Caenorhabditis elegans: one gene and its partners. The protein of the gene in region 1 interacts with the protein of each later gene in a pairwise test. Each region holds a gene or a part of one and is shown in the gene's direction. Other genes may lie near its edges. The genes, in order: F46H5.3, lrx-1 and tap-1.

Region 1 (4,705 bases):
CGAGAAGCGTGTCTGGGAGATCAACGAAGAGAAGAGCAAGCTGGAGTGGCGTCTCGGTGAGCTCTCCCAATGGTGGAACGATGCAAAGTGGAAGGTCGGCGAGTTGGAATCCTCTGTTGCCCTACAGAGAAATTTGCTTGACACGGCAAACTCGAAGATTCAAAGCCTTAATGATCAGTGAGTTTTCTTTGGAGTTGGGGTCAGAGCAATACGAGATTGAATGTTTCATGAATTTAAAATATCAAAAACGGCGCTTGTAAATCATTTCATTACATAAAAATAAAAACGAAAAATTGCATGAACATCTTTGATCACTTTCTAGAATTACCCAAAAAAGGACTTTATAAAAATCAAAAACTGAATAAATTTTCAAAATAACAGATAGGAAACTTTAAAGAATTTTTTCATATTTCATTTTTAGGTTAATACAGGAAGTGAGGTAAGGAATACAGATTTTATTGAACTACTTGTAACTTAACGTCTGGAAAGCAATGCACTTTATATTTTTTTTTCTGAAATTTGCGGAGTAGTTGAATTGAAAACAATACTAACTATGTTTTGTTTTTCTTATTTAATTTTTAAAAATTGAAACGAGTGTACAGTGTATTTGACGGTGTGAATATAGTGTTCCTCATCCAAAGCAATATTTCATTCGAAATCGAAATTCCAATAATTTAGGAGTCACTCCAGCACCATGACCATTCCCACCGACGGATTCACCATTAGCCAAAGCAACCAAGGAACTTGGAACCTTGCCAAGTAAGTTATACCAGTGGTTCTCTTGATATCACTATTCCAAGTATTTGCAGCGGAAGTAACCAGCCATGTTTCACCGGAGCCATCCCATCCATCCCACTTGTCTCAGCCCTGCCATTCGCCGGAGCCAATCCATTCATTTTTGGGGGAGCTAACGAAGGAAGAAATGTAACGTTGACCATTTCGAACACAGAGCAGGAAGTTTACTTGACGGTAAGTTTTTTTTTGCCAAATAGGTCTTCATTTGATTTTTCAGGGAAGTTTTATCAACTGGAAATGCACATTGAAATGCGAGAAACTGGTTAGCGGCAAGAAAGGAGTCACGGTCAATTTGACGCGTGGAAGGTAACAACATTCAAATTCAAAACACAAATTTCAAGTAATAATTTTAGACACGAGTTCCGATTCATGATCAATGGCGAATGGGCGACGTCGAGCGACTATCAACAGGTGCCAAACGGTTTGGGCGGACAGAATAACATTATTTTTGTCGAATAATAATTATTCCCTTGATCACTTAAATTGAATTATTTTTTCTTACCTGTCAACTTTGTTTCCATTTACTTCTCCTCATTTTTTGTATCTTTATTTCTTGTTTGTATTACATACCACTCCATTCAAACTTATGCAGTTAACCACTCTATTCACTAGATTGTGTTTAGAAAATTGTGAAGATTCTGAATTTTTTCGGGACTTTTGGCATTGCCATGATGTGAATGAATATTTTCGGTTAATATTAATTCAGATTTCAAATAACTTTTGTTCAATATGTAAAGTTTTTTTACTTAATTTTTAATAATTGGTTGTTTTTTCTCAATTTTCCGAATTAAATTTTTCAATAGAAGATGTTACATCGATGCTCGAGAGTATTGTCACAATTTTTGGTAGGTACTTTGCAGTGGTTTTGTTTCACGTTGACAACTACCCTCAATACATAATATGGCGTTTTATGAAAAAATTATAAAGAAGTTAACATATACTTTCGGGCACAATTTTTGCAGTACTCTAACTATGTACTTGATTGAAATCTCAGCAATCAAGTAAGGAGCAAATAATTCAATTAATAAGTTCCATCCTCTTTTATTTAAAATAGTGTTTTTGCGCATTAATTGATTAACTTTAGAAAAAAATCAACAAACAAACAAATTTGGAAAATGTAAAAGTTTGTTGAAGATCTAATTTTTTCCAAGATAAATTAATTAATTTACAGAAAAGTTTTTTGTCCTATATCTTTTATTTAAATGTTTTTTTTTTCAAAAAGTTAAAATCAAAATATTCAAAAATATTATGAAAATGTGCTATTCAAACTGACGTCCTACACGTTTTCAAAAATTTCAAACTTTAAAACACATTTCCATATTCACCACTAGAAAAATATATATTTTTTTAAAGTAATCAGGTGTTAGTACTTGGAGTCTAAAATTTGCAAAATTGAAAGACTTGAGATAAAAATGAAAATGACGAATAATTGAGAATGTGCAAGAAATATTTTAATTAAAGGCTTCGCATGTGTGCTGAGTGTTTTCAATGTGTTCCATCTTTGTGTGTGGCTTATTTTTCAACAAATTTTTTTTCGACATTTGTTTTTTTTTCGCAGAAAAATAATATGAAAGTTTTGCATTAAAAAATGTGTTGATCAAAAATCTTTTCAAAAGGTAAAAAGGCAACTTTATTTTTGTCTGATATATAACATTTTGAAACACCTGCAAATGAAAACGCAGTCAAATTCCCATTGCACAATGTCTATTCGATTGCTGACAAAAATATACTTTCAGTATTCAAATTAACGTTAATGGCTCTTTTTGTTTGTTTACACTCCCAAAAAAACATTGTGTTCGTTCGAACCAACTGTAATAGGTATGAGCCTATTTCAATAATTATATTTTTGTTTAATTCCAGCAACAATAGTTTTTTATTTGGTGACACGATACATAATTTGTTTGTTAATCTGGTATTTTTGGAGTTTATTCCAATTTTGATTTCGCGCAATCAATGCAGTGAAATAAACTTTGTAAAATAGAAAAAAAGACTCTGGAAAGCTTGGTGATTATGTTCATAGCTAAAAATATCACAAGTAGGTTGATGTTTATGTCTAGATTGAGAATTAAATTATCTTGATAAAATCCACCATTTTTTAAAAACATTTTTCTCAACTTGAATATTGTCTAAATTATAAATTTTTAGTTAAATGTTCTATTTTTCTACTTTTCAATATAATTTGTAAAAATGTATTTTCCAAATTCTCTTGTTTTAGAAAATCCCCAAATCATTCAATTTTCAAATAACTCGGAAAAACTCAAAGTTTTATTACGCGGAGATCAACCTTCCTTCTATCTTCCTGTCTTCTCATGTAACTTCTTATCCCGTATCCCTTTTTATCACTTTTTCTGACTGTTTTCTACTGGCTCATCACAACGTTGCGTGAGCCTTTGGCCGATAGAGGTTAACTGTGTAAAGCATGTTCGGCAACTTCGGGAAAGATGGATGCCGATGAGAGCAGGAACAGATGGCATTCGACGGCAATGAAATAGCAGATGGCGGTATGAGAGTCTTTTGAACCTCATCCTCGTCGGCTACCACTTTCTTTCTTTTCACAACATTTTTTTGCCATACTCTCCGATGGCCGGAAAACAATTGTTGTGTAATATCCAGCGTTTGCGTGAGCCACCGAGTCTTGTGTCAATTCGAGTAGAGGAAAAAAGTGAAGAGAAATAAATTACCCATGTGTCAATTGTCGTTGGTCAAAGAACTAGACTGAAGAAACAAGAAAACGACCCAGAACCAGGAAATAACACGAGAAATGATGAACCTGTTATTTAGAGGAAGAAGAACCGTTCGAAATTGTTGCTCAAAGAGACAAAAAATAGTCTGAAAATGGTGCATTCCATTATGAGACTTTTCAAAAATCTCTCGGACACATTGTTGCAGTCTAAAAGTAACGTGGGTGAACGCAGAAAAAATCTTCAATTTTTCCATATGGATGTGTCGGCTGGATAAAAAGCAGGGCTACATGTAGATATGCATAACAAGTGAAGTCTAACAAGTTGTTTTTGGCGATAAATGCTGAATCGCAAGCCACTCACAAACTAATTATTTTATGGAAGTACAGAAAAAAAATTATTCAATGCCACGAGATTTGAGAAGAAATCAAAATTTTAAAAATTGGACTTTTGCACACCTTTCAATTTTTTGTGTGTTTTTTTTTAAGTGGAAAATCTAACGAGTAACTGAAAGTAAATATCTTTTCGAACAATTGAAATGAGAAAGTGTATAAGTATTGAAAAATCTTTTTTTTTAACTTTGATTACTTTTGCTTCTCGAGTTAATAATGGGTAAATTTACAGATTTGTCATAACATACAACTTGTGCTTGTTTCAAGCAAAATGTTTGAAACTTAATAATTTTTGGCAATCGAACCAATCGAGAATTACCTTTTTCAGTTTTGCACACCCCACTTTAATAGTATTTTTTCACCTCGGCACATCTTGAAATTGTAGTAATAATAATTCAGTACAGAAATAAAAGAAAAAGGTTAAGTTTGTTGTGAATTATACATTTTTACATAGGACACAAAAGAAATAAAATCCCCCGAAGATTAATAATGGTGCGTTTATTAATAGAGGTTATAATGTTTTTTTTCAACAGCGCATAACTGTGTGTGTGTTTCAATTTTTTTTTTAATTTTGTAGCGAGGCAATTGAAAATATTTATTCAGATAGTATTATTTTCCAAAATGAAAGGATGAAACCGTGGGGAGGAGGCGTGAAAATAGATAATCCTTGTTGTGATTAGTGGCACATTCAAATATATTCGATAAGCCGTATTTGGGACAATGGTTGCCAAGACGACGAATACCTGAATTTTATCCAAATCTGAACGAATATTTGGCAGTGTTATTTTTACCTTGATACTTATCAACCTGAAGCTAAAGTAATCTGTTTTTGTTCAT
Region 2 (5,069 bases), on another chromosome or scaffold:
CAGTGAAAAGAGTTAATACGAAGAGACGGTTCTAGAATGGTATTGAAGAATCTCAATAGTACAAATAATATTTTACGGTCTCAAAATTGATTCGCTCACCTTTTAATTATGTTTTATGCTTTGTCAGATCATTCCCGAGTTTCCAAATGTTGTTACCTCATGTTTTATATTTTACGAGATGAACCCGATGCATCGGCCGATGTGAAATGAAAAATATTTTCTAACTGTTTCAATATTCTAATGCGTTTTTTGCTACGCTTTTGTTTCTTTCTTCTTGTTAAAAGCTAACCTTATTCATAAAAAATTTCGATTCAAGATCAGAATGTCTGACGATGAGGATGACTACATGTCTGCTGAAATTCTCCAAGGAGTTAGTGAACAACCAGTTGGAATTGCAAAATCTAGAGCTCACAAGCGAGAACTACAAATAAATTCAAGATTTGAAGAGTCCAGAGACACGTTTAAACCAAAAAGGCCAACTAGTCATGCTGAGCGAGGTTTGTAAATCGTAGTATATTATTTTTGTAGTTTACCAAATAAATTTCAGAAAAAGAACGTCGCGACGAGGCGCTCGCAAAACCGATTAGCCACGAATCGAAAGGATTTGCATTGATGGCAAAAATGGGATTCAAACCTGGTATGACATTGGGAAAGCAAAGAGAAGACGAAATTCGAATTACGGAACCAATTGGTGTCGATATCAAGGCTAATAGGAAGGGACTTGGGCACGAGGTTGAAGCAGTTCAAGAACGCAATGAACGAGTTGAGGCTGTAATGCAAAAAATGAAAGAACAAGCGGCAAAGCATGAAGAGCTGATCGATGACTATTCCAAACGGCGGAAGCTTGATGCCAACTCAAAGCAATTAGTCAAAGACATCAGATCTTGTCGAAAGGTGTGCGAAGAGTTGGATCATCGAATTGGAAAAAAAGTTCCCAGTGTTTCGTGGTTTTGGAGAAGTTATAAAGTTGCTCAAGAGGAAACTACATCTTACCATAAAAAAGTTGAAAAAGAAGATGAAGAATATAAGTACTCAAATGGTTTAGCAGCTCCAGAAGATCCGAATTATGATTTCACAATGTCAACGGAAATTTTAGAAGAAGCGTAAGTTTTTGTTTTGTAGATAAGGTTTCAATGAGCGTTATTTATCCAAACCGACAATAGTATTAAATATGCGTTTATTTCAGACTTTCCACTATCAACAATTATCTTCGAGATGGTCACTTCTATTGTATTTGGTGCGGAGCCAACTTTTCCTCGCCAGAAGATATGATCGAACATTGTCCTGGGAGCACTCGTCGAGCACATCATGGAGAAGATGAATAGATTAATTATTTTCATAAAATCTCAATTCTTGATGTATATACTATGAATCCTTTTTTATAACCAAGTTCGTGTCCTAACATCGTGTCACTTTTTTTTTTTGCTTTTTTGCTTCATTATTGTCTGCTCCTGTGTTGTTTCTCAAGGTGGGAACGTATCAAGTGACAAGTGACCACTAGTCAGTCAGCTTGAAGTGGCGATCAGTTGCCGCGCACCACCAGTAGCCCCCAACAGCGCGAAAAGCTTCTTTAGCGATAGAAAAGAACACAAACAATTGAAAAAGAAGAAAGTCCAGTGCACACACGACACTTGTGCTTCTTCAGCTACAGTCTTCAGTGGGCAGCAACATCAAGTTCCACCATCTTTATCATCTGCTCATCCATTCTCTCGATCTGTTCCGGTAAATTTGATTGCCAATCATTTTGCAAATCATGGCATGGTTAACGTCCATATTTTTCATTCTTCTAGCCGTTCAACCGGTTCTTCCACAGGATCTATATGGCACAGCAACTCAGCAGGTACAGTGAACTGTTCAAAAATTTGTAGCATTTGTTCTTATTTCTCTTTCTCAAAGTTTCTAATGCTTAGGGTCTCACCACGACCAAGATATTGTTCAAATGAAGGGCTCGCCAAGGGATTTGCACCTATAAGGAGTACTGTAGTTCAAGTTCAAGTTTTTTTTTCAATTTTTCCTCGTTCGTTCCGATTTTAATGCTTTATTTCTAACTATTTGTTTCGTATTTACATATAAATCGGTATGAGCTACAAGGAAAATATTTATGTAAAATCGAAAAAATTGTGAAATGAGTCGCACTACAGTACTATTTAAAATCACCGTATTTAAAATATTTCTGTCGTATCGAGACCTAATTTTGACAAAAAATCGCACAAAAAATCATTATGGTTTTAGGCAACATAAAGATTCCAATTGGATTCACAGACGATTTAAAAACTTAATTTTGAAAAAAATCAAAACAATCGTTTTTCTTTAGTGAATTGTATAAATATTTTCCAGCAGCCTTATCCATATGTACAACCTAGTGCTTCGTCTGGTTCTGGAGGCTACGTTCCAAATCCTCAATCAAGCATTCATACTGTTCAGCAGCCATATCCAAATATTGTAAGTTATAAAGGCTTGGGCCAGGGCCGAGGATAGGTCTATATTTGTTTACATTACCAGAATATCAAGAAACAATATTTAGGATGTAGTCGAACCAGATGTGGATAGTGTAGACATTTATGAAACTGAAGAACCTCAATTTAAAGTTGTGAACCCTGTATTTCCACTTGGTGGATCTGGAATCGTTGAACCTGGTACAATCCCACCACCAATGCCTCAAACTCAAGCTCCAGAAAAACCAGACAACAGCTATGCAATTAACTATTGTGATAAACGAGAATTCCCAGATGATGTACTAGCACAATATGGATTAGAAAGGATTGATTATTTTGTATACAACACTTCATGCTCTCATGTTTTCTTCCAGGTAATTTTTTGGAAATTATTTTTCTGAAATACAGAAATAGTTGAACAAATGTATAATTTAAAGTATTGAAACTTATCTTTATTGTATGCACGAAATAAGCTATTTTTATTTGTATGCTATCAATATTTATATTTCTACAGTCAATAGATTTCTGAAATTCCGAACTTCTTTCATATTTTCAGTGTTCAATTGGCCAGACTTTTCCTCTGGCGTGTATGTCCGAAGATCAAGCATTTGATAAGTCTACTGAAAATTGTAATCACAAGAATGCTATTAAATTCTGTCCAGAATACGATCATGTCATGCACTGTAGTAAGTCATTCAATTAAGAGTATGTATAAAATTTCATATGGCGTTGATGCACCATGAGGTGCGCTTGAAAGTTTGTAAATCTGCAATTTTCTGATTTTGATTTTATGGAAACTTAATTATTTCATCGATTTTTTCTCGAAATCTATAAAATATATTTATTTACAAAAAGCTCCAATATAAAATAGTGTTTGATATTGCAGCAATCAAAGACACCTGTACTGAAAATGAGTTTGCTTGTTGTGCAATGCCTCAATCCTGTATCCATGTGAGCAAACGTTGTGATGGTCACCCAGACTGTGCCGATGGGGAAGATGAGAACAATTGTCGTAAGTTACTCATTACAACAATTGCCAATTAAATTGAAAACCTTTAGCATCGTGTGCACGTGATGAGTTTGCATGTGTGAAGAGTGAACATTGTATTCCTGCAAACAAAAGATGTGACGGTGTGGCTGATGATTGTGAAGATGGATCGAATCTTGATGAAATTGGATGCAGTAAAAATACAAGTAATTTTTACTTTTTAAAATGTACTTTATAACAAAGTAATTAAAGCTTGTATTGGAAAGTTCGTCTGTGGAACATCGCGTGGAGGTGTTTCATGTGTGGATTTAGATATGCATTGTGATGGAAAGAAAGATTGTTTAAATGGAGAAGATGAAATGAATTGTAGTAAGTTTTTTTCTGCCTCCCTTCTTCTCACCCGGAAAACACCTCTGGAAAGTTATAAGTGGCGAAATAATGTACAGTACTTCCTCTAATAATATCGCATCCTACTATTTCACTTTAAAAGGTTATACCTCGGTTCAATTTAAAGATATTGAACATATTTTTCAATAAATAATTGACTGCAAACGATAGAAAAAAGTTTTCAAAAAATTGTCAAATGACAATTTTTAAATAGGAGAAAAGACAACTGAGATATTTAATTGTCAAAGTCTAACATTGGGAGTGCAACATTAATAGAAATACATACAATTTGGAATGTCTTTCTTAACTATAACCACACATTTTGGCACAACTTCAATGTGCGAACTTTTTCTTGTTCGAGACAAAAACATAGGAAAAAAAGTATTTTTAGCCAAGTGTCCAAATAAACACTGACGAATACTACACTTGTTATTTCAGAACAAGAAGGACGCCAAAAATATTTGCTCTGCGAGAATCAAAAACAATCAGTGACACGTCTACAATGGTGTAATGGAGAAACAGATTGTGCTGATGGATCTGATGAAAAATATTGTTACTAGATACTGCTGAACTTCTTGTCGATTTCCCTTAATTTATAAATAAATACATGAATGTCATTGCTTCTTGAAATATTCTTTCAAATTATTTGACAAAACGATTAGTTTCGCTTTGAAAATTTGACGGAAAAGAGGTCGAAAAGGGTGGGGACTGGTTATTTTTCAAGGTTTACTGTTTCTCTTTTTCTCTTCTTTTTGTTACTCTTACCCCTTTTCAACTTTGACACCGAAAGTCAACCAGTGTTAGACTCATGAGTATTTCCGTATATTCTGTTACTATTTTCACACTTTTGACATTACTTCCGTTAATATGTATATCACTGGAGTGCATCAACTCAACATCATACATGGACAGAGTTCTCGTCAAACCAATGAGCTCACATTGTCGTTTGAATAATGCACTTTGTGTGAAGACAATGCAAATTAGTCAGAATTCTGGTATGCACATATTTTTTGAAGTTGGAACTTTTAATATTGATCATTTCGTATTGACCGTCTCCGACTCAATATTTTTTGTTCCAACATTGATTAACTACCATTAACTGTCATTAAGTTCTGGTCCAAAAAATTGAATCAGAAGTTGGCAGAAGTTTGAACAAAGTTGAGCTAAAATTTTTAAAATTTTTGGCGCGCTCAAAACCAAATATTTCTTAAGTTTTACCAAAGTCTTGCCAATTTTTGAACAAATTATATAATTGGTCC
Region 3 (4,677 bases), 7.4 Mb from region 1:
AAATTTTAAAAATCCAACTATGTATTTTTCCTGAATATTTTTTTTCTAATCACATTTTTTAAGATTCATCTTTGATGAGATATTTTTAGATTTATAATTATTCAAATTGATTCTAGAAATGTTTCTTTTTAAAAATTCACCTGCTTAAACATCAATGTTCTATTTGTCTCCGAGCACGTAATTCTAGTCTGACGCAAGTCTTTCACTTGAGCCCATCCTGGACTTCTGCTCTCCACTGACAATCGTTGAAGCTGAAAAATTTCATTAATTAAAACATTTTCCGGCTGAGCAAACACAAACCATAAATGAGCCTCCGAATACGTCGGAATCAAAGTTAATTTCTACAGAACTTATATACAAAGACATGTTTTCGATGATTTTGTTCATGAAGCCGTATGAACTGCTGTCACCGAGATTTCTGCAAAAACGTGAAGGGTTTAATTTCGAAAATGGTAGAACTATGCTTACCCAAGTGGATTTGATTTTGCCTGTTTTTTATGCTCATTGGTAAGCTCCACATCCACATTGATTTCATCAATGAACTGAAATTATTTTTACGATTATAAAAGCATGAATTTGAATGAAAAAGGAGTTTATGTGAGACTATGACACTTTTCAAAATATTTATAACTTTTTTTTTACAAAATAGAAAACGTTATCAAAAATGCAACATTTGGCAGATTTAATTTGTCTGATATAATTATTCAAAATACGAGAATAAATTTGTCTACTTCAATTTCTAATTCAAAAAAAAGAAAACAACCTACAATCTGAATTGGGCAAGTTTTCAATTTGGTCCATGGTACATTCACAGCTACACCTGTACAGAATGCTCGTTTGATTTTCAACCACGAAGGAAGCTCCTGAAATTTTGAGTTTATGCAAGGAAAGCATGTACATTTAAAACTCACCAAAATCTCTGTCAAAACATCTTCGTTAATTTCAATAAACTGAAGTTTACTATTTCCTTTTAACACGTCTAAGGATATCTGCTCGGGCTTCAAGTTTTTTGTGAATCTGAAAAAAAGTGAATTTTTTGAGGGTGCAAACTTGATTAAATTCCATAGTAAAACTTTTCAAAAAAAATTTGAAATTTTATACTTATTGTCACAAGTAGCAATTACCAAGATATTTTTGGTTTTTTTAAGCGATTTGGAGCATATTTTGGCAAAATTCCCAGTGGCGTTACAAAAATTTTAACATCCATTTTATCAACTAAACAAGGAGGGTATTATTTGAGAAAAAATATGTTTGACGTTGTCATCGATTTTTAATATTTTTCAATACACTCAAAAATTAACTTACTTGGATAAATGTTTGACTAGCTGGTTTTTGATTATTGACGTCATCTTCGGTGTACAATTCTGCAAAAAAAATCGATTTTCAGGTGCGAACTACAAAAAACTACATAAATACACAGAAAATCATCAATAGAACATATTGAATCAAAAACAATGTGCTCATTATTTATGCGAAAATGCATTAATTGTCCAAATTGCGACTATCGGTTTTTGCCAATGGAGCGCGTTTGGCACACGCGGCGGTGTATGCTTGGGAGGGTGCGTGCGCGCGTCGGCATGCCAATTCTCTCAACGTGTTTGTGCTTGGCTAGCCATTGCTGCTTTTTGATAAGAATAGAAACGCGTTTTGGCGTGAGAAAAAAGACCGGATATAGATTTTGAAGATTAGAATTAGAATTTTTCCCTTTTTTTAAATTGTATTTCAATATAAAAATATAATTTGATTAGAATTTTTTGTTGTTGCTCATTGAACGTTTATATAATAAAAAAGAAAGTAGAAGTAGTCAATCAACAAATTTGTTTATCGTTTGTATTAATCGTTTTCTCTGTCATTATTTCTCTAACTCATCGTGAATTTGATTGTAGATAAGCAGGAGAGCAGTCGCAGAGCACAGGCAAAATGGGGGACGACGGGTTCCTCGATCAATACCCTGCCAACACCGATGCGGGCATTGGCACTGTGCACAGCTGCCGCTACTCAAAACAAAAAAATCCGGTGCAGAACAACGATTTTTTATCGTGCTCCATGTGCATACAGTGAGTTTATTCTACTTTTTTTGTTGCAAAATGAAACATAAACCGATCTTAATTAGGAAAAAAGTCAAATTTTACAGCAATTCAGTGGAAAATAAACTGAACGATTACGTGGGAAAATGCAATTTTTACACTTTCCTTGTCTAGTAACACAATGAACAAAAAATGAAAAGAGAAAGTTTTGGAACGATACATTGAAGGTGTTAAATACAATTTGTTTGCAAGGAAGTAAATGTCACAAGTACATCAATTAAAAAATAAAACTATATTTATCGTAATTTTTTGTTAAAACATGAAAGATCATGTAGACACAGATTAGTAGATTACATTAATAGTAAAAGTTAACAAATTTTCATTTTTCAGCAATGGACCCATCAAACTCTACGGTATTTTTTCCGGATTTAATGGTGGCGATTCAACAGCGAAGTTTGTCATGAACAGATTGGTATATGAGATTTTTGGAGAAAATCCAATTACACCAACACTACTCCCTTATCAAGTGATTTAACAATCAAATTTTCAACTCTACAACTACATTTTCAGGTGGTGGAAGAATTTAAACGGAAATTTGAAAACGTTGCCGAGCGTTATTTGTTGATGAACACCGATGATTTGAACAATCGACTGTTAAAGTTGGAGGAACAGTCGGAAACTGGAAATAATGCAGTATCGGAAATCAATCAAAAAGTTAGACTAAATTTTGAAATTATTATAATCTCCCAAATTTTCAGATTCGCCAAGGTACCACTGCCATAGTAGTCATGATCATTAACCAGGACCTATATGTGCTAAATTGCGGAAACTCTCTGTAAGATTTTTGAAACTGTTTGTTAGGAATTTTTGAAAAAAAAAAACTTTCAGCGCAATTGCTATGAACAGTGAGAACGTAGTGCAGCTCAACTCAAATCTACACAATAATGACAATCCTTTGGAGATTGTACGAATAAAAGGGCTAGGGATTAATCCGGAGGTAATTAATTTTTTTTGTAATAATTTTACAAAATAAGTTTACAGACAGTTCTGAATCCAACTAGAGCGATCGGTGACTTACAACGAACCCACCTGTTTGAAGAGACGGAAGCTTTCAAGAATGCAAAAGGACCACCGGTTATTTCTACTCCAGATGTTCAGTATACAAAGGTTTGCTATGATGAAATGTTGTTCTGGAACATTTTACGAAAAACAAGATAAAAGATCAAATTCAATGAAAATATTAGTCACAACACCTCAGATTTGATTACAAAATGAGAACATGTTTTCTTTTCTTTTTTTAAATGCTTATTTTCCAACCAACAGGTAACTTCTACTTTTAGATCGACCCATCCTGGAGACATTTGGTTCTGATCTCCGACGGTGTAGTTCAGAATCTTAAGGAAGTTGAAGTTGAAAACATCCCAACGTAAGTAGCAAACTTATGGAACTTTTTCGTCAATAACCAAGTCACACGTTTATAAAAATAAAAAATAAAATTTTCATCGATTCCCCAGTTTTCAGAGAAGTATCCGTTCGACTAATTGAAGATCACACAGTTACAAGTACAGCGCAGGCATTGGTAGACTCGTTTGCAAGAAAGCATCGCGATGCTTACACGGTTTGTTGGATTTACCCTTTTTTAGATAAGCAAATTTGAATACAATTTACAAAATTTTACCTATTTCTTCTCAATTCAATTAAATTTGTTCAAACATTGGGCGGATGTATTTTGCTATTCCACATTGCCATATTATTTTTATTTTATTTTCAGATGAGCGACGATAAAAATTTCTGTATCAGTAATCACAGAGAGGAAATGACTGTGATTTATGTGAAGCTCGAGGAAGATTACCAAGCGGCTCTTTACGAACAATTCGATTCAGCGATTTCGACAATGGAATCTACAAATGCAACATTGTATGAGCCCTGCTCGACACCATATGTCGATGCTACCAACTTCAATTCTGGAAAAAATTATGAAAAGATGAAGAAACTACTTCTAACTCGACCTTCAAAATAAATATTGTTGCTAGTAAATATAAATATTTGTTATCATGTATTATGTGTTATTTTTGCGGGGAGTATGATTATGATGCTTTCATTACAAATGTAACGTTATATGTGCCTATGTGGTGCCATGTGCCAGGATGTCCCATCACGGATTGATCTAGAAAAATAGCGGGATTTTTTCGCCCAAAAAAAATGCGACGTCAGCGCGTTCTTAACCATACGAAATCAGTGGAGAACTCTGCGTCCCCTTCTCCCGCATTTTTTGTATTATTGATCTACGTAGATCAAACCAAAATGAGTAACTCTGACACCACTTGTGTGCCCTGTTCGACACCTTACGTGGAAGCTACCAATCTCAACTCTGGGAACAATTTTGAAAAGATCAAGAAACATTTTTCAAGTCGACCGTCAAAATAATTTCTATTGTTGCTACTACATAGATCTAAACTTTTCTTTTCCTATTTCTTTGTTTTATTTTGAAAAAAAAATCTCTGACGAGAGATGCGGGGGAGGAGTTGCTTGAGCTGGTGTGAGATCAAATTTCTTGAATTTCACATCAACGCTTTTGTCCTGATTTTGAGACTAGATTTTTCCGTATTGGTCTTTTTCTGCATTTCAAAAAACAAGACGCAAATTCTGT

Evidence for each region.
Region 2: the proteins of F46H5.3 (region 1) and lrx-1 interact in a two-hybrid assay, tested with the Caenorhabditis elegans proteins (one large-scale study listed by BioGRID).
Region 3: the proteins of F46H5.3 (region 1) and tap-1 interact in a two-hybrid assay, tested with the Caenorhabditis elegans proteins (one large-scale study listed by BioGRID).

Annotation. Positions count from the first base shown.
Region 1 is NC_003284.9:7,235,559-7,240,263, reverse strand, and holds the start of F46H5.3 (putative arginine kinase F46H5.3), read left to right. Parts: upstream 1-1,601; coding exon 1,602-1,640; intron 1,641-3,218; exon of another isoform or gene 3,219-3,362; intron 3,363-4,705. Other genes in the region: F46H5.7 (AMPK1_CBM domain-containing protein), read left to right, coding at 1-177, 422-439, 679-759, 810-969, 1,013-1,101, 1,149-1,254.
Region 2 is NC_003283.11:12,251,025-12,256,093, forward strand, and holds lrx-1 (LRP X(cross)-hybridizing), read left to right. Parts: upstream 1-1,660; 5' UTR 1,661-1,753; coding exon 1,754-1,840; intron 1,841-2,337; coding exon 2,338-2,442; intron 2,443-2,524; coding exon 2,525-2,809; intron 2,810-2,991; coding exon 2,992-3,121; intron 3,122-3,321; coding exon 3,322-3,447; intron 3,448-3,494; coding exon 3,495-3,629; intron 3,630-3,675; coding exon 3,676-3,792; intron 3,793-4,248; coding exon 4,249-4,370; 3' UTR 4,371-4,426; downstream 4,427-5,069. Other genes in the region: rad-50 (Zinc-hook domain-containing protein), read left to right, coding at 1-35; T04H1.5 (G patch domain-containing protein 11), read left to right, coding at 323-497, 548-1,103, 1,187-1,325; T04H1.12 (Activin_recp domain-containing protein), read left to right, coding at 4,619-4,805.
Region 3 is NC_003284.9:14,587,738-14,592,414, forward strand, and holds tap-1 (TGF-beta-activated kinase 1 and MAP3K7-binding protein 1), read left to right. Parts: upstream 1-1,886; 5' UTR 1,887-1,920; coding exon 1,921-2,057; intron 2,058-2,417; coding exon 2,418-2,553; intron 2,554-2,597; coding exon 2,598-2,741; intron 2,742-2,785; coding exon 2,786-2,862; intron 2,863-2,915; coding exon 2,916-3,024; intron 3,025-3,068; coding exon 3,069-3,194; intron 3,195-3,367; coding exon 3,368-3,453; intron 3,454-3,548; coding exon 3,549-3,645; intron 3,646-3,798; coding exon 3,799-4,047; 3' UTR 4,048-4,084; downstream 4,085-4,677. Other genes in the region: bltp-3B (Chorein N-terminal domain-containing protein), read right to left, coding at 141-251, 301-418, 469-542, 768-863, 912-1,017, 1,306-1,349. UniProt on the Caenorhabditis elegans protein: Involved in the Wnt signaling pathway by regulating mom-4 kinase activity.